7 linked regions of the Sus scrofa genome follow. The protein of the gene in region 2 interacts with the protein of the main gene of each other region in a biochemical or structural test. Links are inferred from orthologs where the notes say so. Each region holds a gene or a part of one and is shown on either strand. Other genes may lie near its edges. The genes, in order: NCF2, CDC42, PAK1, WASL, MCF2, CDC42EP3 and EIF2AK2.

Region 1 (3,943 bases), on a different chromosome or scaffold from region 2:
CTGACACTCCCTCAGGGTGTGGCGGTTGGACTGGTTTGACACAGACATGAGAGAGAATTCTAGTTAATAATAAGATGTCAGGAGAAGTCTGCTGAGGATTTCTGGGAAAGATTTTTTTTCTTACTGATGATTAAAAAAAAAAAACAGGAGTTCCCGTCGTGGCGCAGTGGTTAACGAATCCGACTAGGAACCATGAGGTTGCGGGTTCGGTCCCTGCCCTTGCTCAGTGGGTTAATGATCCGGCGTTGCCGTGAGCTGTGGTGTAGGTTGCAGACGCGGCTCGGATCCCACGTTGCTGTGGCTCTGGTGTAGGCTGGTGGCTACAGCTCCAATTCGACCCCTAGCCTGGGAACCTCCATATGCCGCGGGAGCGGCCCAAAAAGACAAAAAAAAAAATAAAAAATAAAAAAAAATAAAAAATAAAAAAAAAACAAAAACAAGGGAAGAAACTTCCCTTGTTTCTCCCCTAGACTGTACTACGAAGATGTGCCTGGAATAGTGGCAGCTATCTTGTGACCATGAGAGACCGCTAAGAACAAACCATTGTTTTAAGGAGAGAGAATGAAAAACCACGAAGAACCTGGGTCCGTAATTAGGTTAGTAAGCTCCTCAATCAGCTATCTTGGAGCTGACCTACTCAGGATTTACTTTGGGGTGAGATAAGAAACCTGTTTATTCTTTAAGCCACTTGAATAATGTTTTCTGTCATTTATCATTTAAAACATTCTCACAGATTGGGAGTTCCCATAGTAGCTCAGCAGAAACAAATCTGACTAGCATCCATGAGGATGCAGGTTCAATCCCTGGCCTTGCTCAGTGGGTTAAGGATCTGGCGTTGCTGTGAGCTGTGGTGTAGGTCAGCAGCTACAGCTCTGATTCGACCCCTAGCCTGGACACCTCCATATGCCATGGGTTTAGCCCTAAAATAAACAAACAAAAAATTCTCAGATACACCACTGTATTCTTGATTCCTGGCACAGCATTTGATATAATAGCTATTCAGAAAACATTACTTATTGAATAAATTTTAAGACATTGGCTGGATAAAAGTTTCAGCTCGGTGTCTTCAAAATTATTTCAAAATCCTGTACAAGCAAGATTTACGTTGCTTTGGTAACAGATCACAAGTTCCTGTTGTGTGCATTCGTTCATTCAGCTGGAAGCTAAGAGCATTCCTTTTTTTTTTTTAAGTCTTTTTAGAGCTGCAGCCTTGGCATATGAAGGTTTCCAGGCTAGAGGTTGCATCAGAGCTGTAGCTGCCGGCCTACACCACAGCCACAGCCACACCAGAGCTGAGCCACATCCGTGACTTACACCACAGCTCACGGCAATGCCCAATCCTTAACACAAATGGAACCTGCGTCTAATCAGGTCCTAATCAGGCTCACGTCTGCTGAGTCACGACGGGAACTCCTAAGAGCCTTTCTCATGCTTTCCTTTTTCTCTGAGGGAGGAGCTGTGCTGTCCAGCGCTGTGATTCTCATTATTCCTTGGTGCTCAGCAGGTGTCTCCTCATCCCCATTTTTAGAGCTTAGTGTTTCATCCCGCTTTTTCTATCACCTGAGGCTTCTCTCTAAAGCTCCTTAAAAGCTGGAAACAAATCTCAATTTGCCTGTCTTTCATCACAGTTAGTGTTTTTCTAAGCACATGGCAAGTGCTCCGTAGACTCTCGCTAACTGGTTAAATGAACCAAAAATTAGGAAATGGAACCCTACTTGAAAAAAATAAATAGCATTTTAATGGGGCAGTGTCACCTTATTAGCTTAAAGTGAGGTACACGTCTAATAGTAGGAGGAAGTATATACTTTCTATGCACTCAACTCTCATGTCAGTGGATACTTACATTGAGTACCAGACAGGAAACCCTCAGGAGGTGGGCAGGGAGACCCCAGTTATTACATTTAAACTCAGCCTGGATTTCACAAGGAGGATGCAGGAAACTGGACCTGGGTGTCCTCACTCAGCAATGCGAGCGGAAAGCCGCCGGGCTGAGTCCTCCTTCTCCAGGAAACATCGTAAGCTAGTGCTGTCTGTGCTACCATTGTATTAGCTTTCTATTGCTGCGTCACAAATTGCCACTAACTTCCTGGCTTACAGTAATACACACTTACTCTCATAGTTTTCTTGGGGGCAGAAGTCCCGGCATGGCCCAGCTGGGTCCTCTGCTCCGGGTCTCACAAGGCTGAGATCAAGGTGTTGGCTGAACTGCATCTTATCCAGAGGCTTGACTGGGGAAGAATCAGCTTCTAAGCTCCCTCGTGGGTTGGCAGCATTCATGTCCTTGCAGTTGTAGAATTTATGTTGTTTGCTTCTCTAAGACCCGTGACGGAGAAAGCGTCTCTACTTCACTGAGTCTCGGATCTCTAGACCTCTTTTTAAAAATTATTTTTCCTTTTTTGGCCGCCCCGTGGCATGGGGAGTTTCCAGGCAGAGGTCAGAACTGAGCCACAATGACGACCTAAGCCACAGCTGTGGCAACGCTGGATCCTCAACCCGCTGTGCTGGGCCAGGGATAAAACCTGCGTGCCAGCTCTCCCAAGGTGCTGCCGATCCCATTGTGCTACAGCAGGAACGCCTCTAGACTCCTTTTAAAGCCTAACTGATTAGATCAGGCCCACCCGGGTTAATGTCTCTTTCGATCAAAGCCAGCTGTTTAGGGATCTTGATTACTGCTGCAAAGTCCCTTCACCTTTGCCACCTTCTGTGGGTGAGAAGCAAGTCATAGCTCCTGCCTACACGAGGGGAAGAACGTACACAGGGCAGAGATGATTAAGGCTCATCTCAGGCTTCTGCCCATCACAGCTACAGAGTTCCACTCTTCTTCCCTGACGCAACAGCTAGATCACGTATTCCTCCCCCGTGCTCTCAGAGCAGCCTCTCGCTGACTCTCAACTGCATGTGATTCTAATGACTTGGTTAAGTGTTTCTCAACGAGACTGTAAGCTCCAGAAGTACAGGACCTATATCTGATTTTTCCACTTCCCTTCTGTGCCAATCACATGGTAAACTCTCAAAACAGGCCTCACTAACAATGTTGTGGTTACACGCTTTTAAAATCACTGTAGGAGTTCCCCTGTGGCACAGTGGGTTAAGGACCTGGCATTGTCATTGCAGTGGCGTCGGCTCCATCCCTGGCCTGGAAAATTCCACATGTTCTGGGTATGGACATACATACATATACACACACATACCTACCTACATACACACATAAAACAAAAACAAAAGTAAAAAAAAAATGTTTAAGTGTCTTGGCTAATCAAAAAAGGAAAACTAGATGTTTGCCCCTGGCCCAAGGCTCTAAAACCAGAGATTGCTAAAGAGAGAAGGAAGAATCTCAGAAAAACCCAAGCACGTGGCACACAGGGATCTCAGAGATGGAGGAAATGGAGAGGCAATGGGACCCCCCAGGGGATTCTCTCAGGAGGCCAGACACACAGGATGGAGGAGGTGGGGCCTGACTCAGGAGGAATCCAAAGGCTGGACAGAGATCAAACGCAGAGTACAGGGAAAGCTGAAGCCCAGAGTGAGCTGAGGCTGCAAAAATTACTAAGGACAGCACAAAGAGCTCCTTAGTGTCAGGGGAAGAGCGGGGAGGGTTACCGCTGGGTGCGATGGCGTCACGTCAACAGATGTCGAGGAGAAAGCAGAACCCCTCCGCTCCTACTTTGTTCCTGAGTCACTCAGAGGCTCCAGACTGAGGAGGGCGAGGAAGCTGAGAGCTACTTGAAAGAAATGCCAGTTATCAAATCCCGATTCATTAAATCCCAGGAATTGAAAGGTTTTGCAAATATGATCTCACCACGAAGACTGGGATCTACGCTAAAAAGCCAGGTTGGAGTGTGAGTCTAGTTTGTAAGTGTGAGTCTAGTTTCCTAAAAGCTTTACCCTGGAAAGAATTCTAGAAGATAGATTATTAAACAAAATCACTTAAAATTTAAACAAA
Region 2 (4,207 bases):
TTCATTCTAAATGTAATAGTTTGCATCTACTAAACCCCAACTCCCAGTCCATCCCACTCCCTCCCCCTTGGCAACCACAAGTCTGTTCTCCATGTCTATGAGTCTGTTTCTGGTCTAGGTTCATCTGTGCCATATTTTAGATTCCACATATAAGTGATATCATATGGTATTTGTCTTTCTCTTAGAATGAATTTTTTTAATATAGAATATATAGATCTACCTATGGAACAAAAGTTAACAAAATATTAACACCTTCTTTCCCTTCAAAGCCCTGTAGCCTGAAATGTTCATTAAGCATTCCTTGTCCTCTCAAAAACAATAAATGCACTTAAAATGTATTTAAAAATAAAAGTATAGTTTGACTTCTACTTCCAAGAATGTCTGTAAATACTACTTTCAGACAGGCACAGCAAACTGTAATTCAAAGTTTTCCAAATGCAACCTCTTAGATCAAAATATTTTATTAGTATAACTATTTTAAAAACAACCAGAAATGCTTCTCTAATAAACCGTAAGTGGAAAAAGTACCCGAATTTAAAAAAAAAAAAAAAAAAAAAAAAACTTGAAGTCACAAAAAAGTCAAGATGTGGGCTTGGTGGGCTTTAAGAATCTCGCTGATATTTAAGCTAGGCTGTAACACCTGCCTCAGATTCCCAAAAATTTAAATTTAACTGAGTACAGATGTTGTTATTATGTGAAAACATTTTAAGAACGTGCTATCTTTTGGGTCTTGGAAGAAATTACTGAGGAAGAGCTCATTTTTAATACACAGTTAATTACCAGTCTCTTATCACCTTGCCTCAATCTAAAAAAATTAAGACTCAAGAAATATGGCAGCAGGTAAGTGTTCCATTTTTATCTTCTTAAAAAGATACATTATGGCAAATAAATATATTTTAGAAGATCCAAGCTCCACACCTATCCAATCATCTACCAACACCTACACACTACAGAAAGCTGATGTAAACCTACCACTTTTAAGTGTTTCTTAACAAGCAATCTGTTCTCTCTATACAAACGAGAAACAATAGGAAAGCGCTTGTTCCAACATGAACTATCTTTACAACAATGCATTACACAACTGGATCTCATTTGCTTTACAATGCTAACATTTTTCTGTATTACACTACCCTGCAGTCAATGAAGGATATACAATTTAGGATGTACCTAACATTCTGTGATCCCAAGTCTGAAAATATTACTCACTTAAGTTTATTTGGTTAAAAATCCAAAACATTTTTAATTACAAAATTAAACTGACTACCAAGCAAAGATTAAGCGTAAATAGAACTGATTCTCTTTTCACACACCCTTACCACAAAAAGTGCACATGAGTTGACTTAGGTACATATTCCGAATCGGTAATTCATATGGGAGAAGTTAAACAGTCTGTGAATTGCATCTTAGACCAAAGAAATGCTTCCACAAATAAATTCATCTCATTCGGGTACAGTCAAAGGGATCTTTAAAGTTACTGCCTACGCAAGCGGCTGCAGAAGGTGTTGTCTTACGTTTTATTCTCTGGCACAAGTTGATCCGGAGATTTTAAACCCTCCTGGCTTTCAGATGCATATGAGACGGCCAGGATTTCAAAAGATCATCTCTGATGCGTTGGGAAACAGGTTGGCTAGGCCAATGGGTGACCCAACCAAGGCTACAAAATGCTGTCTTAATTTAGTGAGTCCCTGACTTGTAGGAGTTAAAAACTCTCACCCCTTATATTGCGATGACGTAATCTTCCACACTGCATTTCTCTGGGATTAAAGGGGAGGAAAAACACAAACGAACAAAGAAATTTTCCCCCTAATGAGAGGAACTGGGCAAAAGGCTGAACGACAGTTTCGGGAGGTGGTTAGGTAACTCCCTGAAAGGGAAGCTTCAGCTGAAAACGCAGGGAGAGAGTTGGAGAAGCAAACGGAAACGGCATCAGGAACTCGACCTAAGGCAGGAATAAAGGAGACCGGAGAAGCGGCGACCAGGCCCACCCAGTGGGACCAGGCGTCCAGCTGCGGGACCGCGGAGGGAGGCGCGTCGCAGGCAAACCCGGGGCGGTCAGCTAGCCGCCCGCTCCCGGCCGCCACTTCCCGGCCGCGCTCGCAATCCGCTCCCCTCCCCCCCGCCCGCCGCAAAATGTCTGCGGCCGCGCCGGGCGAAGCAGGAAGTCGAGGCCGGGGCGCGGGGGCAGACCCGGCCTGGGAGCCCGGGCCACCGCCACCCCGGGCAGCCCGGGCGCCCGCGAGCGTCTCCGCAGCTCCCGGCGCCCGGGCCCGCCGTCCGCCTCAGGGGTCCGCAGGGCCGGGGGGAGGGGAGCCGGGCGGCCGGGATGGGTGTGACCCCTTCCTTCCGCCGCTGCCGGGTGACAGCACGGCCGCGCCCTCGGCCCGGCACCCCACAGCAGGGCCGCACACCTCTCGGCCGACGTGCGCCCCCCGCCTTGCCCGCCGCGACTTCCTCGCCTCCGTCCTCGGACAGAACCCGGACCCGCGTTCGCCCGAACGGCGCTGCGCGAGCCGGGCACCCCCCCCCCCCCCACACACACACACACTCCACGCCCCGCGCTCCCAAGCTTCCCAGGAACCCAGACGCGGGGCGTCCCCGTGGACTGGGAAAGGCCGGGCGCGGCGCAGCGGAAACGGGACGGTGGGGAACCCGCTCCCGCGGGGAGCCTAGGACCCCGCACTCACCTCAGCTCCTCAGCCGGGGCGTTGGCAGCAATGCGCGGGGTCTCCTCAGCTGCGGACAGGGGCACGCGCCTGACGTCAGCACGCAGACGACGCAGCGTTGGGAGCCCGCGGAAGTGGGAGGGATCCGAGGCGAAAAGAGGCCGAGCTGTTCCGGGCGGGGCTTGAATTCATCCGCTCCCCAGGTTCAGGCAGCCTAGCGCGCACGCGCCAGGCGGTCCTGCTTGCTCTTTCGTGTGTTGCGCTTGTAACTGTTTCTCCAGTGGCTGTCATATATTTGTAATAATGCTATAAATGGTCGTTTGCAAAGCACCACAACTAACATTTCTTTTGATCTTTGCACTTTTGCAAAGTATCATCATCCTGATTTTGCAAAGAAGACAGCGGCTACTCGAAAAGGGGCATGACTTGTGACCACAATGCAAGTGGATGGCCCTCTGACTCCCCCGGCCCGTATGGCTTGAGAGCTGAGTGCTCGCTTCACTGCTTCCACCCTACTGTCTCTCGTTCCAGCGACATCCGTCATCAATTGGTTTAGAGACTTCCTCCCCACAACAAGGCCTCAGATTCACAATTTCCCCTGGCTGCCTCCTCTTCACCAGTCCTTCCGTTGGCCCTCTGCCTTCAAATGTCACTGCCTTCCTGATCATCCTATCCTCACAGCACCTGTTTGTCATCCGTCTTCCTTGCCAGTGTGCACACTTCAGAATAGGAGCCTTCTCGGTCTTTTCTCAGATGGTGCCTAGTGTTAGAGGAAAATAGCTTATCTTAAATAATAGTTCTTTATTTTTTTCTTTTTAGGGCTGCACCCCTGGCCTATGGAGGTTCCTAGGCTAGGGGTCAAATTGAAGCTGTAGCTGCTGGCCTACACCACAGCCATAGCAACCCGGGATCCAAGCCTTGTCTGCAACTTACACCACAGCTTAAGGCAACGCCAGATCCTTAGCCCACTGAGCAAGGCCAGGGATAGAACCTGCATCCTCATGGATGGATACTACTCAGATTAGTTTCCTCTGAGCTACGAGGGGAACTACAATAATTCATTTATTGATGACTGCCACAGTTATTTGGCCAAGAAAGACATCTATTTACAATATTTTTAATAGTCATATTTCCCTTCGGACTTTTTTTTTATTGTTTCGAATGTTTCATTTTATTTTATTTTATTTTTTGGTCTTTTTTTTTTTTTTTTTGCCATTTTTTGGGCCGCTCCCACCGCATGTGGAGGTTCCCAGGCTAGGGATCTAATTGGAGCTGTAACCGCCAGCCTACACCAGAGCCACAGCAACGCAGGATCCGAGCGGCATCTGCGACCTATACCACAGCTCACGGCAACGCCGGATCCTTAACCCACTGAGCAAGGCCAGGGATCGAACCCACAACCTCGTGGTTCCTAGTCAGATTCGTTAACCACTGAGCCACAACGGGAACTCCTGGACTTTTTTAATTACACAAGAACTACGTTTTAGAGTGATTACTATAGGTATGATGCTAACATACTATAGGTATGATGCTAACAAATTTGC
Region 3 (4,101 bases), on a different chromosome or scaffold from region 2:
ACCAGGAACTTCAGTAGACATTGAAACTAAACTGATCCTGCCCTCAAGAAATTCACAGATTAATGGAAAAGACAGGCACAAACTTAGACATTTGCAATAGAGTGCTATAGGGACCTATAAGAGTGGTCTGTACATGAGCCATGGAATAGAGAAGAGCAACTCTACTACGGAGATAATAGAAGGAGAAACTAAGGGACTGCTTCCCAGAGGTCCAACAAGTGCTTCTCCACAGGCAGGTAGAAGGTGGCATTCCAGGCAAAAAGAACAACACATGCAAAAGCAGAGATGAGAAGAGGGGGGCAGAGGGTTATAGAAAATGAGCCTCTGCAAAGGTAGGCAGTACTCTAACCTCCAAGAGGTTCCTACTCATATCAGAGTTTAAAATTTTTCTTTAGCAAATGACCAGTTGAGGGTGGGGAGAAATGATTGGTTTTTGTTTTACAAAGATCTCTCTGGATATACAGTGCCCTCCTTGTAGAAAGCACTCCTTCCTCCAAACCTAACACAGAACCTCATAACATGTGCTGAGTAAGTGTATACTGAATTAAACTGAACAAGCTCTTTGTCAAGTGTTATCTTATGGATGAGAGGCAGGTCACCACCTTCCCCGCAGGTCTCACTTTGGCCAGGACAAGACCTGTAAAACAGGTCCAGCAGCCTCAATTATTGCACACTGCTCCCTGTACAACTGGAGCCCCCAGAGAGGACGGAAGGCCTTCACTGTTTACATGGCTACCTCACCCACTAGACTTTGAGCTCTGTGAAGACAGGGAATATCTTAATAGATTCAAAATCCCCACAGCCCTAGCAGGAAACTTGAAACAGTAGCTCTTCAGATCCCAGCAATGTTGGGTAAATCAATGACTAAATAGGCAAATTTCCCAGACAGACCCAAGAGCTCACAAAAGTTAAGGACATGGATAAGCTTCAGGGAATGTTTCGGGGTCCATGATTCCAAAACCCTTTTTGAGAAGTATAGTTTCTAGTTGAGGAGAGACTGATTTCATTCGCACCTGATTCAGGATTTACCAAATGTGAACAAAAAAAGTGCTGTGGTAGAAATCCAAGCAGGCCTCTGAGGGGCCCAAAGAGAAAGTTTTGCCTGAGAGGAGTATGGGGGTGGTGCCAGCAAAGACTTCTAATGGGGGTAATTCTTCCGCAGACTCCTGAAAGCTAAGTAGGTGGTGGATACCCGCCTGCTTCGAGGGCACAAAAACAAGTTCCTGGAACGGTAAGACTGGAAGTGACCTGCTCAAGGTCACACAGGAAGTAGGTGAAGTCACAAGTTAAGACCAATGAGGCATGTGTCTACTGTTGACTCCTTTTTCTCCTGACCAAGTCGAGAGAGAGCCCAAAGACACCGGAGGCAAAATTACACATTTTCTCAGAAACAACTCTTAAAGGCTAAACTAGTGAATTTGAAATGTTTATTGGTACCAGGGTACCAACTCTTGCCTTCACCTTTCACTGTTCCGGGGGCGGGGGGGTGGGAGGAGAAAGTGTAAGACAGTTATCCAAAGGGCTTAACAAACAACAAGCACTTGGCTCTCCACACTTCCAAACACCCAGAACGTCTCCAGTGTTCTTCCAAAACACCCCAGCAATGTCTGCTGTGAAACTACTCCAGACAGTAAAGGATATAATAGCGCCTATTGAAATGGAATAATCAACATGAAACAGCCACAATTCTCCTTTCCCAGTTTGTTTTTAACGCCACAAGTGAGCGTCTTCCCGGGGTGGGGGAGGGGCCGCGTGAGTCAAACACCATCCAGTATTTTTCAAGGAGTTGAACCCTAGACGTGATCCCCCGCCCCCCTGGCCTGGACCGGGGTGATTTCTTTCGTGCACAATGAATCTGACGCTGCCTTGCTAGGCTCCCCGTCGGGGGGCCGCAAAGTTCGGGAGGGAGTCCCGGACCCAGACCAGCGGTCCCGACCCCTCCCCGCCTCGGCCCGCCGCCGGGTCCCTCAGCTCCCCCCCCCCGGCGTCTGAGACCTGCGGCCGCCCGGGTGAGCGCACGGGGAGCCTTTGTTGGTCCGACAGCGGCGGCCAGCCTCGAGGGGCGACGCCCCCGCCTCGCCTCACCTGGCGCCCCCCGCCCGCCCAGCCCTGCAGCCGGAATGAATGGGCCCCACGCCCCGCGACGCCCCCGCCCCCGCACCGCGCGACGCCAAGGGTACCGCGCGGGAGGCCGGCTCTCACCTTCCGCGCTTAGCTTCGGCTCCACTCGGTTCCTCCTCCTTTTCCACGCCGGCGGCGGCGGCGGCGGCCGAGCGGGGGAGCGAGCGCGCGAGTGTGTGCGAGGGGCCGCTTCACTTTCCCCCTCCCGCCGCCTCAGCCGCCGCCGCCGCGCACTCGGCGCCTCCCCGCCTCGCTGGTGCCGGGGAGTCCGCTCCGGACCGGGCGGGGGCGGGGGTGGTCAGCGACCCGGGGGTGAGGTGGGGGAGGGAGGGAGCCCGGCGACGCCGCTGAGGAGGTGCGGCTCCGGCCGCTGGAGAGGCGAGGGGCTCGACTGGCCTCCGGGGGAGGAGGTGGGGAGACAGAGGGTTCTTTGAGGGGCTCCGCAAAAGAGGGGGTAAGAGTCTGAGAGAAAGCGTCTGTCGAGTAGGACGGCGGAGCTGCTGAGGGAGGCGGCGGGGAGGCGCGACGGACGGGCGGAGGGGGAGGGGGCTGTGGGGGGAAACCGTGAGGGGGCGTCTGCGGTGCTACCGACACCTGGGTCTCCAGCTGAAGCCCCGGCCCGGGCCCCCGCCTCGGCCTCCGCCGAGCTATTGTACGCCGCCGGGCCGGGCGGACCGCCTCGCCCACCGGCCCCCCGCCCCCTCCCCCGCGAGGCCGAGGCTCCGGCCCAGCCAGGCCCGCCCAGCCTCCTGCAGGTGGGAGGGGGCGGGGAGGACTGGACCGACCCACGTGAGCGAAGCCAACCCAGGCCTGGGGGAGGGCCAGCGCCTGGAATGACGTCATTGGCGCGTGACGCCAGAGGCTGGGGAATCACCCGCTGCCGCATGACGTCATTGCGCCCCCGTCTCTCCTCGAGTGCTATCGCTCGCTACAGCTGCAGGCTCCTTTAAGGCGGGCTTTCCCCAGGATGTTTGTGGGAGGTGTTAAGGGGCGACAGTGGTGGAATCGGGGTCGAAAAAGACAGCCAATCCCATAGGATTGTGGTCCTCTTGGTTATAAAGCACCACTGCATCTGCTAGCTTGTTGCCAAGCGCTGAGTTTGGAAGCTACCCCATATCCTGTGACCTCAGAACTGGACATTTAATACACTGTTGGCTTTCTTGGAGGAGGGGCAAAGAAATGTTAATGGAGGTTTCAACTATTGTGCTCTGGTAGAAAAGAATGGGCAGCTTTTCGCGCCTTCCTACACCAACGGAGGTCGCATTCTACGCAAACCTTTTCCCTGAGTTCAGATTCTGCGTTTCCTAATGAAATGTTTGCACTGTACCTCAAATTCCCCATGTCCAAAACTGAAACAACGTTAGTGACTAAGGGTTTGGAATTAAGTTGCCTTGCTTCAGATTCCAGCTGTACAGATGTTGGTGATAGGATCTTAACATTTCTAAGCCACAGTTTCTCCTTAAGTTGTACCTGTGTATGGGTAACTTGATCTGAGTCACCGTTTTATAATAATAGTAAGTGCAATTTAGCACCATTAAGCCCTTTGGAATGTAGACTGTTCCTACTACAATATTCCCCAAAACTTGTGACTCATGTTACTTTCTGGTCTTGGTGAATGGACCACCATTCAGCAGTACACTAAGCCAGAAACCCCCATTCTTCTTTCTCAACGCTCATCAAATTTGTCACCGAGTCCTGTAGAGTCTCCTAAATATTTCCCAAGATCTCGCCCTTCTCTTCACTCACTGCCATCACCTAGACAACTAGAGCGGCTTTCAGTCTTCCAGATTCAACCGTACTTACCAGTGACCAGAGTAACCTTTTAAAACGACAAATCTGACGAAAGCCTTCCCTCTTTAAATACTCTCAAAGGGTTTTGTGCTTCACAATAAAATCCACATTCTTAATGTGGCACTGCACAACCTTGGTGCTTACACCAGCCTTTCTAGCCTCATCTTACGTGGTATCTTTTGTTCCAGC
Region 4 (3,500 bases), on a different chromosome or scaffold from region 2:
ACACAGGACCCAGCATAGATTCTTTGGTAAAAGCTCATTAAAATCTACTATTTACCTGGGCTGTGGTCATTTTGACACTAATTCTCCCCTCTAGCAACTATTCAAAGTTCTTTAACTGCTCCTGAGAAATCTTTAGTCTCAACTAAATGGGAAGAGGGAGGAGAGGTGTCTGTTCACAGGCTGATCCAAGAATCAACCTGAATACACGTTAAAATTTACCATCCATAAGTTGTCTGAAGCCCTGCAGAGTAAATGTTCTGCCTGGAACAGAGAGACTACACATAAAGACCCAGAGGAAGCATGTCTTTGTTAGGCAGGTTAGGTTCTAGGTCAGGGATCAGGAAATTACTGCTCATGGACCAAGTCTAGCCTGACCCCTGATTCTGTAAAATTTTTTAAAAGCCAAGAATGATTTTTACATTTTTAAATGGTAGAAAGAAAATAAAAAGACGAATATTTGTGATATGTGCAAATTATATGAAATTCAAATTTCAATGTCCATAAATAAAGCTTTATACAACGCAATCATGCCCATTTATGTGCTGTCTATGGCTTCTCTCACGGTACGTATGTCTATAGCTGCTACTTTTGTGGTACTAGGCTGAGTTAAGTAGTTTTAACAGAGACCATACAGCCTGCAAGCTTAAAATGTTTACTATGTGGTCCTTTAAAGAAAAAAGTTTGCCAACCTTTGCTCCAGAAGATTAAATGATCACCTCATCCAATTCGGAGAACCCAAAATTATCTGCCATCACTACAGAAACCCTTATTACAACTCTTTCAGTTTTTTGTGGAGTCTGATTCTCCACGAATCTAAATTTCAGAACATGTAAACTTTAAAATATGGTTTAGTTTTCAGAAGTTAATGGAATGAATTTACAAAAATGATTATAATTGGATTCAACAGGGCTAAGTTTACTTCTGTACAGTTTAATAAAGATTTTTCTTTAAGTTTTATTTAAAAGTCTAGAACGATGAACTGCAAACACAGAGCAACATTTTTTAATATGAAGTTCTAAAATAGGCAAACTAAACTTATGGTGATAGAAATCAGAATCAGTGATTCTTTTGGGAAGAGACAGGCATGAGGGAACTTTCTGGGGTGATACTGTATAGGTATAAATTTGTGCATTTTATGAATATCAGAAATTCACAGGGTCAAAAAAACAAATACCACGAGAAAAAGTAAAAAAACAAAAGAATAGCAACCAAAAAAACCCAACCCCTTTTCAAAGAGGTCTTAAAATTACATTAAAATTCCATCATGACAGGTAATCTAAACTGAAAAGAACAGATTACTTACAGATTTCAGCTGAATACCCTGTCGTATCTGGTCTAAAAGTGCATCCCTTCCAGAGCAGGACACCGGTCGACTGTTCTGTTCCACTTTTTTAAGCTGAGCACCCTCTCTAATTTGATCTAAAAGAGCTGCTTTGCTTCCAGCAGGAGTTGGAACTTGATGGTCACCATCAGAAGGGAGGCCGGGGGGAGGTGGTGGCCCCGGTGGAGGTGGAGGTGGAGGAGGTGGGGGTGGTGCCGCTGACCCGGCCACCGACAGAGGTGGAGGTGGTGGTGGAGGCCCTGACGGTGCTGAAGAGGGAAGGGCTGGAGGTGGAGGAGGGTACATCCTATTTGGCGGAGGTGGAGGGACTCCTACGCCTGGCCTGGACGGAGGCGGCGGTGGCGGGGCAGCTGTGGGAGCTCTTGAAGGTGGCGGAGGAGGAGCCCCTCTTCCCCTGGCAGGAGGGGGAGGAGGGCCTGAGCTATGTGGAGGGGGGGGAGGAGGAGGCGGCCCTCCCCTTGATGGTGGTGGAGGTGGCGGTGCTGAAATAAAAACAGAAAAAAAGAAACCATGCTTTTTTCCCCCACAAACATCATACTGAAAAAGCAACTCACTTCAACATGTATTTAAAAAAAAAAAAAACAAAAAACCAGTATGAGAAAAAAGGCTTCATCTTTGTATTTATTTTACAAAGATATGTGAGCACTGATGATATCTCACAACTCTATTTGGGAATACTCAGCCTAAAGAACACCTTCCTGGTCTTTCTTGAAAAAAAATAATAGCTAAAATAGTACAAGTGAGTTTTTAGTAATCAGCATTACTTCTCAAGGTAAGGGAACAAAGAAATTTTTATATAATAATAACAAAAATATAACAATGAAATTAAACATTTTGATCAATAACTGTTATTTTACATTTTAATAAAAATTAATGGAATCTTCTCTCTTTAAAGAATCAAGTATATTTGTTTTATAAAATTAATTTCTATTCAGAATTAAACAGCTAATGCAGCATAGTTTATTGGAATTTATTCCACTTAATGTGAGTTAAACCCAAATACTTTTTCTTTTAAAAAATAAGCCTTTGTAACCTAACTTGCATAATTTATGTCCTATATTTTCTGTATGTATAGAATATATAACAACATATAATATATATGTAATAAATACATAATATATAATAAACATTGTACGATATTAATAAAAGATGGTCAGCAATTCTAGTGATGGCATTAAGGCCCAGCTGAAGGCATTAAGGCTAACTACTTACTTAGGAGACATTAACAAATCAACTGAGATTTCTAAGTACTGCAAAATTAAAGTTATTAATAAAATATTAACATTACTCTGATATATACATTCTTATTCTACTTAGGTGAAAATGTAAGATAAAAGTAGGAGAACAAATCCAAAGTACAAATTTTCTATGTTTTTAGAGGCATGATTTTGCCAAGAGGATTCACAAACTTGTATAATAATGAACATCATTATTTCTCCACTCATTTAAAGAGTGAATAGAAAAATTAACTATTTTTAGGAATAAAGAAATCCTAAAATCCATAACAGCTATTTGTATTTTCTGAGAAACTGTAATATTATTGATGAATTTTCTACAGTCTATACAAATACAAATACCCACCTTGATTTCAAGTAACAATAGGCTTAGATGCTCAATGATGCAATGATACCAAAGAGGAAAAAAACAGCCCTCAGTTCAAAGTAAATCAAACAGTATCTTTTGATTTCATCTGGGACAATCATGGGAAATATGCCATAAAAATATGCTATCAAATATAGTTATAAACATTTAGACATAATATGCAGAAGGGCCAATACTCATAAGGGTATTGTCTCCTGGCATACAAACTTTTAAAACTGGAAATAATACATAGCTGCAAACAGGAGTGTCATCCTACCTGGATCAGACCATTACTGAAGGAAGCTCCTAATATTTACACTCAAGGCATATTGGAGGTCTGGGTGTTGGAGCTAAGGTTCACTCAATTTTCTCACCAAATCCAAAGCAAGAAAACTTAAAGTTGCTAAAAGCAAAGTCCTTTTCAAACACATTTTGTAATAATAGGGTAAAACCAAGAGGATATGACATATGTATAATATGTGTACTCTCTGAATAAGACAGTACATCAAATTCTTTCAGCAGATACAAGAACTTCATTTTTAATCAATTTAAGGAGTTCCCATCGTGGCTCAGTGAT
Region 5 (4,253 bases), on a different chromosome or scaffold from region 2:
CCAAAACTAAACCCCAAATTTCCTCTTCCTCCTCCCTTCCCTGCTATATCCCAACCTCTCTTCCCATCCCGCCATCCCATCCAGAAACCCGGAATTAACCTAGTCTCCTGCGCTGTCCTTCAAACCTCGAAATCAAGTCAAATCAATTCTACCCTCTCATTTCCTCAAGCTTCTCCCCTTCTCCCCATTCCCAGAACTGACTTAGTTCGTGTCTTGGCCCACGCCTGCCCAGCTTGCTACAACTGCTCTCTAACTGGCCCCCTTATTCCCGGTCTTCTTCCTCTCTGCGGCACACTCCACACACTGTGTCCTTCACACAGCCACCAGATGGCATTTCCCAAAGCAAGACGCTCCACTGTGCAATGCTGCTGTCAACCACGGTGCACAATGTGCCTGATACAACCCTAGCAAGGGCGTCGTTCACAGTTCACAGTTTTGCAGTGCACAACCTAGACAACGGTACATAGCGGCCTTGGTTACAACACTCTGGTGGCTCCTCCTGGCCCTACAAAGTAAAGCCCTCTAATATGCCTTACAAAGGGCCTGACCCAGCCTCTGTCTACCTCCCCAAAGTGATCTCTCTCCTGTATTTTCCACACTTTACATTCTAATCATTAAAGAAAGAAAGAAAAAGTTTCCCAAACATGTGATGCCATCCCCTTTCTCCTTGTTTTTGCGCATCTTATTTCCTTTGCCTGATTACCCCTCCCCACCACCCTCCATCCCTAGCCCCAGTCCACCTGGAAATGCATGCGCATCCTTGAAGATTCAAGTCACACATCACCTTCTCCCTGAAGTCTGCCCTTAGCTAGGGCCCTAAGTAGAGTTGCTCATCCTCGCTGCCCACGGCAGATGCTGCACAAGCAGGTGCAGTTAGCTTATTACAATGTAGCATGTCCTATAGGGAGCAGTGTCTAAACGGTCATTACCGAAACGATCTCAGAAAGTTCTGCACCACAGTGAAAAGCCTTGTACACATATTTCTTAAACAGATGAACCTTTTTTAGATACATGAAATCCTTTTTACACATAAAACTATCCCACTAGGGTGCGTGCCCTAACATCCTAAGCACAGACCACTTTCAGGCCACTCCGGCGGTCCTCCAGACCGTGCAGCTAAAAATGCTAAAAGGCAGAACAGTCCTGCAAGCTTGCTTAAAAATGGAACGCTGCACCCGGTGTCATTTGGCTGCTGTGCTGGGTCATAATGCTGAGGCGACAGGGGCCTGCCAACATGCAGGAGCCTTCAAAGGTATGGAAGCTGACACACCCGCACAACTTAGAGAAAGACAAGAAATCACTGGCGGTAGAAATGTGAACGCAGAGTGCGTAGCCTACCTAACAAGTTCCGTGCTAAAGCAGACATTTCTTGTCTGGAGCTTTACGTTTGTTTTGTTTTTGTTTTGAACTCTCAGGAAGATGCAGGAGCAAACACAAGACGCAGAGCCCTTGCCACACCCCCCTGAGCTGCACACGTTCCGACGAGCGAGGCGGCCGCAGCATCCCAGGGCCTTTCAAATGCTCAACACCTGAAGGAGCGTGCGCTGCGCCAGCCCACGCCCCTTCACGACGGATTACACCTGGAAACCAATCGCGCCCACCTTCAACCCCAAACGGGCAAGACCCGAACATCCAGACAGGCCGCAGCGGTGACACGCTGCGTTCTAAGCACAGGCACGGCAATGCCGGTACCTCGAAAACGCGTCTGAAAACCCCAGAGCTGCACCCTGTTCTCGGGTGGCTCCTGAGCCCCGGTCTGCATGGTCCCCTAGGGAGCTGTCTCCTCGGAGCCCAGAGCCTGCTGCACCAACCCCAAAGCTCTGCACCTCCCGCGAGGCAAACGTGTGCGCATCACCGCGGGCAAGTGACCGAGTCCACAGTACCCCGCGCACACCCCTCAACCAAACCACGGCAGTAGCAGTAAAGGACGTGTGGGTTTGTCGGCTCTTTTTGTTTGTCCCGAGAGACAACCCCAAACTTCTGCCTTTGGGGTTAGGACCCCAGGAGGCAGGAAACTCCTGGGCCCAGCTGGCAAGACACACCCGTCCTGGTGAAAAGTCCAAGCCGGCGGAGGCGCGGTTTCTCTACAACTTCTCCGACTGCAGTGCGGAGAGTCTCCGAACCCCAGCGCCTTTGGGGACTCGGTTTCCCCAAACGTCTCAACCCCACCCCACCCCCGCTTTTCCAGCCTGCGGGGAAGATTACGAGGGACGTGCACCCTCGGGAGGCCGGCTTCTGGTGGGCGGGATGCGGGCTTGGAAGACACCGTCTAGTGCCACCTCTGGCGACGCACCGAGGCGGGTGAGGAGGACAGCGGGGACCCGAAGCAGCCACGGCGGAGACGTCCTCACACCCCCTCCCGGACTTTCCCACAGTCCCCCCGCAGCGCGGCCCGCGGCCGGAGGGACAACTGGCGGGCGGGCTGGCCGTCGCGCTCGCGGCCCGAGGGCAGGCGAAGCGTGCTGGGCGGCCGGGCGCCTGGGGATGGAGCGCGGGAGGCGAGGGGCGCGCGAGCCTGGCGGGAGGCAGAGGCCAGCGGGCGGCGAGCGCCAGGAGGGAACTTACCTGCGACGAAGACCGCCTGCAGCAGGCAGAGGTAGCTCTTGCCGTACTTTTCGGAAATCCGCACGCGCTGCAGGGCCATGGCCATGTCCACCTGCAGAGGGATGGCCTGGGTGGTCGGCACCAACGCGCAGCCGTCCGGGTCCTGGGGAAGGCCCGGCGTCCTGCCGTCCGCCTCAGGGGTCCGCGGCTGCGGGGCCCCGGGCGCGTGCCGGGCGGCCGAGCCCAGGTGGGGCCGGGAGCCCGCCGCCGCCATCGTCTAGCGGGAGGCCGGGCCGGGCCCGCCCCCCCGGCCCGCCGCCGCCGCCGCCGCCGCCGAACTCCTCCCCGCGTCCGGCCCGGCGCCGCCGGGGGGTTCTGCCGCCCGCCCGCCCGCTCAGCCCGGCCGCGCCCGGAGGCCGGAGGGCGCGGGGCGCCCGGAGCCCGGGAACTTGCTCGGAGTCCGGGGCTCCGGCGGGGCGTTTCTGGCCCCGGCAGCCGCGAGGGCAACTCCCCCAGGGTGTGCACACACGCCCCCGCTTAGCTTCCCGGAGGCCCGGAGGCGGGGAGGTGGAGGAGGGACTCGGGCAGCCTAAAGGGAGAACCCCTGCAGAGACGCCCATTGTCAGCGGAGGGAAGGCCGGCCCCGGAGCGCACACGTGGTGGGAGGGGACGGCCCGGCCTCGCACTCCCATGGCAACTCGTGCTGGGCTCGGCGCTTCCCTGGCATCCAGCGAGCGCTGGCCGAGGCCGAGATTGGCCGCGCGCGGGAGCCAGGACGCTAGCCAGTGGCCCTGCGGGACTGCCGTTCTAGAAAGGGCTCAGGAACGCAGAGAGCGCGGGAAAATGGAAAGGCAAGGGGAGGCGACCCCTTCGAGAAGCCAAGTGGGAAAGGAGAGGAGCCAGAGCTCTTGCCTTGCCCCAGAGCCCCCAGGGATGGGGCCCGATGAAAGATGGGGCTCCGAAGTGTCTGGAAGGAAAGGAGTGAGCAGGCCCGGCAGGAGTGCTGCCCAGGAAGCGGCCACCTGAGGACAGGCCTGGGGACGTCCGCATAAAAAGTGCAAGTCTGGGAGTTCCCTTGTGGCGCCGCAGGTTACGGATCCCACGTTCTCACTGCAGCGTCTTGGGCCACTGCAGTGGTGCAGCTTTGATGGCTGGCCTGGAAACTTCCACAGGCCCCAGGGCGTGGCAAAAACAAAAACAAACCCTGCACGTCTGAAACCAAGTCAGTGCTATCGGGAGAGATTCGCCAGGATTTTGCTGCAATGCTTGCAGCCTTTAGCAGAGCTGCGAGTGCCACTTCTTTCTTTAATCCTCAGCCTTTTCAAAGTTTTCTAGTAAGACAGTGTTCAGATGTTACATAGGCCAGTCGTTCCACGTTGATCTTTCGACCGCTCTATGGAGAATCACTCATCTATACCTCCCGAGAGCCGGTGCAGGCAAGTGTAAAAGGCAAAAGTAAGCAGAGGAAGAAAACACATACATACACACTCACACACACCCCCCCTCCTCCTCCTCTAGCCAGTTCAAGCTCTGTCTGAATGGGTCCACAGACAGAATGTTTTCCAGCCCCCCTCTTGAATATGTGAAGAGGAGAAACAGCTTGCAACTGTTCCCGCATATGACATTAAGAATTCCACCGATGTTCTTTTCCAACTTAATAAATAACTGTACGTTGAAAAAGTAGCAGTCTATAAAAGTAGTAGACGACT
Region 6 (4,016 bases), on a different chromosome or scaffold from region 2:
TTTTTTTAACAAAATGTAATTACTTGACTGTCAGCCTGGGTTGCACTCTGGGGCTTTTACTCCTTTTAACACAGCTGCGTTCCCGGCTTTGATGCTGCTGTCCACGCAGCTTGTCCCAGCCACAGCCTGGCTCTCGGTAACGTAACATTCAAGTGCATATTTATTTTTAAACTGACCTCTCCTAGACTGTACAGTATAAAGGAGGTCCTGCCAAAAAATATGCTACTTTCTATTTATAAGATGAAACACATGCCTCCCGAAGTCGAGAGGGGGATGGACTATAATAATTCACAATGAAAAAATTACTGGCCTCATCCATTCGTCCTCACACGTCTAATACTTGTCTGTATCAAGGCAGTTTCAAGGAAAAAGGGAAAAACAAAACAAAAGGCAAACCTTGAAAACAATCCAGCTGTTCAGAAACCACCGTTAAAAAAAAAAAAAAAAAAAGCAACTGCCAGATCTGCAGGTTGGAGCCCCTGCCACAATGCCCCCCATCAAGAGAAGAGACACACGCCCAGCGGGTACTGCCATCCCAGTTCTGCGCGGTGCACCCTTGTGTGGCCCTGGTGCCAGTCCACGATGGGAGGGGAGCGGCAGCCATGTGCGGCTTGTTCTCAGATGGAAAAATGCAATAAGCGCCCAGAATGGCTGTCAATGGCTCAGAGGGGGCAGTGTAGCCGCGCAGCCCCACCCTGAAAAGTGGTGGGCACAAACGGTGGCGCTCTGCGTCTTGGTCGTGCCGCCCGCACCCCTCTCAGTTTGCTTTATACAGCCTTTGGTCCTCAGGACACCAGCTGGAAGGTGATGCCCTCGGTATAACCGTTCCCCGTGCGTTTCCAAGCCTAGACCCCGCGCACGCCGGAAGCGGCCACGGCCGCGGGTCGGACGAACTCACAGACGCGCAGAAAAGGAGCTGTGGGCAGACGGCAACTCACCAGCGGCGCCAAGGATCCCAGCCGCTGGCCCCGGGGCCAGGCGCCCGGCACCGACACTTTCCGAGGGCGCACGCAGTCCCTGCCCGCCACGCGCAGATCCAGCCGGGTCGGCGGGCGCGGCGCCAGTTCACAGCATTATCCGCTCTGAGATTGCGTGAAGGCGCCCAAGGCCGGGGACTCCCGGCTTGCCCCCAGCTCGGGCCCCTCCGCTGCGCAACCCGCCGTTAGCAGCCACCGTGGAGAGAGAGGGAAGGTGCGAGCTATACTGAAAGCACTGCAGCCGGACGCCAGGGCTGAACCTGCGAAGGGCGGGGCGGGCCGGGGCGGGGCCGGCGGCGCAGGGGGCGGGCCGGGGCGGGGCGCAGGCCGTGGGTCGCTGGCCGCACCACCCTGCCTTAGTACCTGAGCTCCGGCCCCGGGCGGGTAGACCCCGGTCGCCAGCTGCCGGGCTTGAAAGCCCCTGGCGGACAATGGGCGCTTATTGTTACCGCCCCAGCGCCACCTCCAGGGGTGGGGCTTTTCTCCGAGAAGATGTGTTCCGCTCCCTTGGCACAAAGGAAGGTCGCAGGGACGCCCAGTTCAAAGAGGCACTGGCTGCTGGGTGCCAGAGGACAAAGGGACTCTGCCTGCACCCCGGACACCTGTACTAAACCTCGTACACCCACCTCTCCTCCTCCCAACGAGTCGATCCAGCCCAGCAAGGCTCCGGCTTGGCGGGCGGCGGACTCTTGGGGAAGAGAGGCCACCTGACGGCGCCGCGCCGGCCGAGCCTTGGGTCCCCGGGCCAGTCTCAGCTCCAGTTTGCGGGGGGGGGGGCTTCTGTCAGTTTCCAGCCCAAACCCCTTGGAGATGTCGCCAAAACCCGGAGAGTGGATTTGGCGCACAAGAGACGCCCGGGGGTGCCGGCTGAGCAAGTGGGCACGCGAACAGCCGATGTTGCAGGTTTTTCCAGTCCACCGGGAGGCGTTTCCTCTCCTGCGGGGTGCCTCAAAGAGACTTGGCTAAAGCTGGAAGCGGGTGGCGGTTGCTCTAGACGAGCGCAAGTACCGCAGCTGCCGGCCCAGGAGCGTAAAATTCCGCCCTGGGCAGCACCTGCGCCCGCCGGTCATTCCAGCCACCGCCGCTGCGCGCCCCGCCTTGCTTCCCTCGAGGCCAAGCGTCGACCTGGTTAATTTTCTTAATCCGTCTCCGTCTCTTCGTCCTTGAGTTCTCGGCCTGGGGAATGAGTAGGCGACAGGAAAGGGCGGCGTTTTCCGGCGGTAAGGTCCCAGCCCGCACGTTCGGCCTGGGGGTGGGGGCTGGAACCTGCGAGAGTGAAGCACTCGCAGCCTGGCCCCAGCCCCGGGATTCTCAGGTTGAATGGAAATCCTGGCACAAAGAGCGATCCTCCAGGAGAACCTTGACTTTCCAGAGCGATATCAGCATCAGGTCGTCACCATAATGCCCCTGGGTTAATCTGAAACCTTAGAGGGTGCACATTAAGTCTTCGTTGTAACCCTCGGCTGATGTTAAGGTGAAGTGAAAAGGAAACGGACACAACCGTTCTGGAAAGCAACATACTTGGGTGGAGTGTTAAAAGAAAATAATAGTTGGCAGGTCAAATGGCCATGAAGTTGGAAGTCAAATACAAAACTCAGCTGAAGTGATGTTAGAAATCTGACAAGCAAAACAGTCGGTGAAGATAAGAGACCCAGCATTGTTTCCTTTCTTCAAATGACAACTACTCCGAAGTTTCCTTTGGCAGATACCTGAATTTTACTCCAGATTCCTGAGTGTTTTACCAGGGGTTCATATTTCAAAATATATGTTCCATTTGGCAGTAATGTATGTATTTTATGTATGAATTTATTGAAAAATATTAAATGTTACTGGCTTACTTAGATGAAAGTATTTTTATAAATATTTATGCATAGCTTTAATTGCACATGGTGTTTTTATAAGTACAAATAGTATGCATATATATTTATTAAATACCACATGAAAAATTCCTTTTGCACACAGACATTCTTTATGCATGTCTTTTGTGTGAAATTTTTTTTTCATTTGCTCTGTTGTTAGCTGCTGTTAGAGACTTTACTTCCATATAACTGAGTTACTTATTTTACAGCTTGTGCAAACATAAGAGGGGCAAGTTGTTTGAGGTAGCAATTTTATTCTCAAACTCCATTTTCACTTTTCTATACCATTCCTCAACTTCTAGAGACTTTCCCTCTCTGTCCTTTCTTTATGAGACTTCACTTCTGGGCTGTAAACAGTTTATCCAAAACCTACTCCTTCAGGGGCCTAGTGGTGCCGATTTGATTTATCCATGCCTGTTTGATGTTCATGTTATTTATTTGCACCGAACATCTTCTTGGTATGGAACATCTCCAGGGAGGGAGAGTGCCCCTATATAGTGGATTATCCTTCCAAACAAGGGTGTTTCCTGTACTATAATTGCTTTTAGTTTTGCTAGATTTTGATTTCACTGTGGAAGAGAGAGAAAAGTTTTGCTTTAGGAAGATTTTAGAGGTTCTGAGATTCTACTCTGGGTTACAGAAAAGTTTATCACCTTGAAAAGTCAGTAAAAACCTTAGGGGCCTAAGACGAAGAAAGTGTACCTAGAGAAGATATCTTAATTAGGTTCAATTAATGCACTCATATGTGTAGAGCAAGCATCTATCAGGCCTGATGGTGGGCTATTTTTCTATTAGTCCTGACTGTGAGAGAAGAGCCAAGAAGTGTCAGTAGAAACCTGCAATCTATTTAGGAGGTAGAGAGCAACAAGCCAGTGTATGCAAACAAGTGCAGACTAAAATATTCTAGCCTCTTGCCATTAAGTATCGTCCTGGAACCAGCAGCGCCAAGCCTCTCTCCAGAGCTACTGAGTTGGAATCTTCATTCCAATGAAATATAGATTGTTCTTGTGTACATTTGATGTGTGAGAAGCATTGGTCAAGAGGAGTGGTTTTCAGTCTTAAATAACAGACTCATTTAAAAATCTCATGGGCCTTATGAACATTCTTGTTATAAAAACACACAGAGAGAATTACACAAACTTTTTCACATTCAGCCTTTTTTTTTTTTTAATTTTTTTAG
Region 7 (4,109 bases), on a different chromosome or scaffold from region 2:
GAGGAAACCCTAAGGCGGGCACCATGATGGCTTCTGGAGAGATAGCAAAAAGGCCAAGGAGACTGCTGCACAGTGAACAAGGGGAGCAAGTGGGAAGTGAGTCAGAGAGGGAGGCAGGTGCCACAGCACACAGACCATGAATGAACTGTGGATGTTATTCCACTTGTAATGGGAAGCTGAGGGTTCTCAGCACAGGGGTGATGTGATTGGATTTATGTCTTTAATGATCAATCTGATGCTATGCAGAGAACAGAGCATGGGGGCAGTTGTGGAAAAAACAAGCAGAGCATGAGTAGAGGTCAGGAGACTAAGTCGAGGCTGCTGCAGTGGTTTAGGGGAGCAATGCTGGTGGCTGGAAGGGCTTAGATCTGAGCAAAGGCACCATCTTTGCAACACCACTTAGTGTTATAGAGAGAGCTAGGCTGTCAAGCCACATAGATCTGAGATAGGCACCTTTCTTAACCTTTAATTTGTGACCAGAAAAGAGGAATGAAAACACCTGATTCACAGGTTGTTGTGAAGAGTCAATCAGACAAAAAGCATCCAGCAGGGTCTCCCACAGCAATGCCCCTCAGTGAGTGGTGCTCCTGGCCTACAATCCCCAATTCCAAAAAGCACTGAAAACTGAGGTTTACTTTATTTTCATTTGATTTGGTTTCGGTCAGTGTGTAGCCCCCCATCTAGACCTGAACTAACATGAGTTATTTAGAGTCTTTACCACACTTTGTTGTCTGCAGACAACATTTATACATTTCACTGCAGAAATGTTTTATGATAGACTGCTGCTCCACTCTAAGAGCATTAAATTACTTACTAGTTTTTAAAAAATCCATAAGTCCCTGAGTACCAGGACATACCTGACCTAAGGGTTTCAGATAAGGATCTGCAGCTGTGTCATTATTTTTAGGAACCAAAGTGTCATTTAGTTTAGTCACAACCATGAGACCATGCATCCAATTGCAGGAGGCCATAGATCTCAGAACACCAGTTATGGAAGAGTCCTTAGCAATTATTTAAACCAAAGTTCCATGGAATGCCCTAAATCCACAGAACTTTTACCTCTACATAACTGCTGATGTTCAAAATGACAAGCCAGTTTGAATTTAAGCAAAACATAGGTGTAAACCAATAAGGTGCTCAATTGGCCTGTTTGAAATAAGTACTTATGAGTTTGGAAAAAAAGAAACAGCAGGTTTCCTTTCAACTACATCTCATTTGAATATATGTTACCATTTTCCTAAAAGAAAATTCCATCATAATCACTAAAAATGTTATGTGTCCATCTTACTCTTGCCCAAAAGTTACTTTGCCTGTGCCTTGATTCCCTTACGGCAGACTGTGAACACTTACGGGTCAAGCCCCCTCCAGGGTCTGAACACTGCTTGACAAACAACATTCAACTAGTACCTGATGAATTAAATGAATAAACTACACATCCAGTGTTACGGATCTTCAGGTTCAAATACGGAAAGAGAAGAACAAGGGCATAAACTGCTCAAGATTCTAAGTTCCTAAGGGACAGCAGGGAGTCTCTTAACTTCTGATTGGCGGGTCTCATACTCTGGAACTCAAAAGAGAATGTATTAACTACCACTCATTAAATAAAGACATAAGGAATATCTATTATGTACTAGGTTATACTAGTGAACAAAACCCTACTCTTGTGAACTTACTAGTGGAGGCATATGGACAAACCCAATAAAAAGTGTCACAGGATGATAAGTACTATATTGAAAACCAAGGCAGAATAAGGGGGACAGCAAGGGAAGAGTGGGGCTTCTTTCACATGCAGGTTGTTCCTGGAAGGCTGCTCTGATAAAGTGATATTGGAGGAAGTGAGAATAACACGAAGGACTGGTCCACACAGGTATCTGGAAGAAGAACCTTCCAAGAAGACACAGGCAGTGCAAAGGCCTAGAGGCAGCAGATAGTGCTGAGCTGTGCTCCAGGAACATCAAAAAGGCCTGCGTGGTCAAGAATGGAAGGAGCACTAAAAAACACTGTGTGGGATTCTGATGAGATGGGAAGCTACTGGGGAGCAGAAAGGGGTTGTCTTGTTCGGACGTGAAGTCAGGTTCCCGTGGTGTTGAGAGGCGGTGCGGGGGTGGGGGTGGGAATGGAGTTGGAGCTGGGGGGGGGGGGCTAAAGATGGGCTTTTGGGAAACAGTTGCGACAGTCCAGGCAAAAGACTTTTGGTCAGGGATTATTTAGCCAATTTTTTGGGCAATTCAGGCCTCCGTATCTCCCATCTGTTGTCTCTCAAGGATGGGGCTTTTTCGTTTTCCACTGGTTGTCCCTGCCCCCAGCCTGCGTCTGGGCAAGTGATTACTTGCTCTGCTAAAAAGATCTTCGCGGGAGATGAATGGCTTTGGTTCCCACCGCGCTGCATAGTCCCTCCCCAAATTCAGCAAACGCCCCACCTAAGGCCTCGGACAGCGCTCCCAATGCAGCGGCTCAGGGGTCAGGGGTCTTACCAGGGTCCAGTCCCAGGCTGGGGATGCAGGATGGCGAGCGCCCTTGTGGCTCCTGGTTGTCGGCCCCTCGCCACTCACCCGCGCTGCTGCAGTCTGTGAAGCCTGGTGGGATCTGGGCCGCTCACTCTCAGTTTCGTTTTCCCCGCGGACTCCGCCTTCTTCCCCCGCCGCACGGGCCCCTCCCGCACCAGTCAGCACTTGTCCGCGCAGGCTCCGGGATCGCGCGCCACTGGCGCCTGCACCCGGAGTTCCCGCGGGCGGCAGTGCGGAGCCTGCTGGGCACCCGCCGGCCGCTGCTGCGCGGTAGAGCGCGTCCGGGTCCCTGCGGCCTGACCTGGTCTTCTCATGCTGCTTCCGGCCCCCGTGGCGGGATCAGTCCGCCGGGATGTGGGGAGGACCTTGAGGTCTCCGAGGCCCACTGCGTGGCGGGCGCTCCCTGAACTGGGCTCTTCAACGCAACATTTGGGACGGCGTTGCGGGGAAGGATGTCATCAGCTCCATTTTACATTAGAAACTGAGCAAATTAACTGTCCCAGAACAAAGCAGGATTCTATTACTCTTAACCACCAAAGCACCCTGCCTCTTCCTCACATTCACCAGGCTGGGAATGAAGAGGTCTGCTGGCATAATCTCCCTTCAGTCTGTTTCCAGCCATCCATCCATTCATTCAACGATACTTGCCAGCCTTTGTACCAGCCAGTCCATCAGTTAGAGCCACTTGCTCCCCGCGCAACCTCCTGGAGGTTTCGACCAAAGTTCTTACCAGAAATCCCAGATTTGTAAAAAAAAAAAAAAAAAAAAAAAAACCTACTCACCTAATGGACTATGACACCTTCCCAAAGTAATACTGGTGCCTCGACCAAATGACTGAGGAGTGCTGAGGACTTACCTCACAACAGTTCTGCAAGGTAGGTCCATTATTATGCCCATTTAACAGATGAGAAAACAGGCCTGAGGCACAGAGAAGTAACAACTAGTAAGCTGAGGAGCCAGAATTAGAACCAAGAGTCTGTACCTCAGCATCCTAGCTAGGGTGAGTAAGAGAGGTGGTCCCAAGGTGGACTTCAGGTACACATTACCTATTGGCCATTGACTCCAGGAGTCCTTTCCCACTTCTCTTTTCTACCCCCTGTATGACAGGATATCAATGGCTAAACACTGCATTTTCCTTGATTTAAGTTCCCCCAATGTGGCACACTGATGGGAGTTTGGAAGGCAGGTAGGAGGCAGAGCCATCTTTCTGTGCCCTTTGAGGTCGCAAAAAGCTCTAGCTTTAGTGGCTCTTTGAAGGAGTCCACTTACCAGCTTCGTGGGTGTGGGGTGACTGTGACAGCCACAATGGCAGTAGCAATGACAAGTTTTCTGACTTTTTGAAGCCTCTGAACTGTCCAAGAGCTTAAGGAAAGAAAATGACAAGCTCAAGCATGGTCAGAGGCCACAAATTTTTATGGTTGAGGGGAAAATCTTCTTACTTCTTGTAAGCCTCAGGGCTGATAGAGCAAAAATCAGGTGCAGAGTCTAATACTACAGGGTAGCAGAAATACTATATAAATTTTTGTTGTTGTTCTTTTAAAGCTTTATTGAACTGTAGTTGAGTTGTAATGTTGTGATAATTTCTCCTGTACAACAAAGTGA

Evidence for each region.
Region 1: the proteins of CDC42 (region 2) and NCF2 form a complex in vitro, tested with the Homo sapiens proteins (2 studies listed by BioGRID and IntAct). The link is inferred for Sus scrofa from reciprocal best matches to the Homo sapiens genes CDC42 and NCF2.
Region 3: the proteins of CDC42 (region 2) and PAK1 form a complex in vitro, tested with the Homo sapiens proteins (11 studies listed by BioGRID and IntAct, with this or other methods). The link is inferred for Sus scrofa from reciprocal best matches to the Homo sapiens genes CDC42 and PAK1.
Region 4: the proteins of CDC42 (region 2) and WASL form a complex in vitro, tested with the Homo sapiens proteins (3 studies listed by BioGRID). The link is inferred for Sus scrofa from reciprocal best matches to the Homo sapiens genes CDC42 and WASL.
Region 5: the proteins of CDC42 (region 2) and MCF2 form a complex in vitro, tested with the Homo sapiens proteins (2 studies listed by BioGRID). The link is inferred for Sus scrofa from reciprocal best matches to the Homo sapiens genes CDC42 and MCF2.
Region 6: the proteins of CDC42 (region 2) and CDC42EP3 form a complex in vitro, tested with the Homo sapiens proteins (2 studies listed by BioGRID). The link is inferred for Sus scrofa from reciprocal best matches to the Homo sapiens genes CDC42 and CDC42EP3.
Region 7: the proteins of CDC42 (region 2) and EIF2AK2 form a complex in vitro, tested with the Homo sapiens proteins (2 studies listed by BioGRID and IntAct). The link is inferred for Sus scrofa from reciprocal best matches to the Homo sapiens genes CDC42 and EIF2AK2.

Annotation. Positions count from the first base shown.
Region 1 is NC_010451.4:124,810,559-124,814,501, forward strand, and holds the start of NCF2 (neutrophil cytosol factor 2), read right to left. Parts: upstream 2,801-3,943; 5' UTR 2,278-2,800; coding exon 2,112-2,277; intron 1-2,111. UniProt on the Homo sapiens protein: Subunit of the phagocyte NADPH oxidase complex that mediates the transfer of electrons from cytosolic NADPH to O2 to produce the superoxide anion (O2(-)).
Region 2 is NC_010448.4:80,033,628-80,037,834, reverse strand, and holds the start of CDC42 (cell division control protein 42 homolog), read right to left. Parts: upstream 2,801-4,207; 5' UTR 2,685-2,800; intron 1-2,684. UniProt on the Homo sapiens protein: Plasma membrane-associated small GTPase which cycles between an active GTP-bound and an inactive GDP-bound state. In active state binds to a variety of effector proteins to regulate cellular responses. Involved in epithelial cell polarization processes.
Region 3 is NC_010451.4:11,970,275-11,974,375, forward strand, and holds the start of PAK1 (serine/threonine-protein kinase PAK 1), read right to left. Parts: upstream 2,801-4,101; 5' UTR 2,203-2,800; intron 1-2,202. UniProt on the Homo sapiens protein: Protein kinase involved in intracellular signaling pathways downstream of integrins and receptor-type kinases that plays an important role in cytoskeleton dynamics, in cell adhesion, migration, proliferation, apoptosis, mitosis, and in vesicle-mediated transport processes.
Region 4 is NC_010460.4:23,774,393-23,777,892, reverse strand, and holds part of WASL (neural Wiskott-Aldrich syndrome protein), read right to left. Parts: intron 1,825-3,500; coding exon 1,304-1,824; intron 1-1,303. UniProt on the Homo sapiens protein: Regulates actin polymerization by stimulating the actin-nucleating activity of the Arp2/3 complex. Involved in various processes, such as mitosis and cytokinesis, via its role in the regulation of actin polymerization.
Region 5 is NC_010461.5:114,353,305-114,357,557, forward strand, and holds the start of MCF2 (proto-oncogene DBL), read right to left. Parts: upstream 2,801-4,253; 5' UTR 2,651-2,800; coding exon 2,566-2,650; intron 1-2,565. UniProt on the Homo sapiens protein: Guanine nucleotide exchange factor (GEF) that modulates the Rho family of GTPases. Promotes the conversion of some member of the Rho family GTPase from the GDP-bound to the GTP-bound form. Isoform 1 exhibits no activity toward RHOA, RAC1 or CDC42.
Region 6 is NC_010445.4:102,536,446-102,540,461, reverse strand, and holds the start of CDC42EP3 (cdc42 effector protein 3), read right to left. Parts: upstream 2,801-4,016; 5' UTR 1,604-2,800; exon of another isoform or gene 939-1,603; intron 908-938; exon of another isoform or gene 397-907; intron 1-396.
Region 7 is NC_010445.4:103,039,720-103,043,828, reverse strand, and holds the start of EIF2AK2 (interferon-induced, double-stranded RNA-activated protein kinase), read right to left. Parts: upstream 2,801-4,109; 5' UTR 2,475-2,800; intron 1-2,474.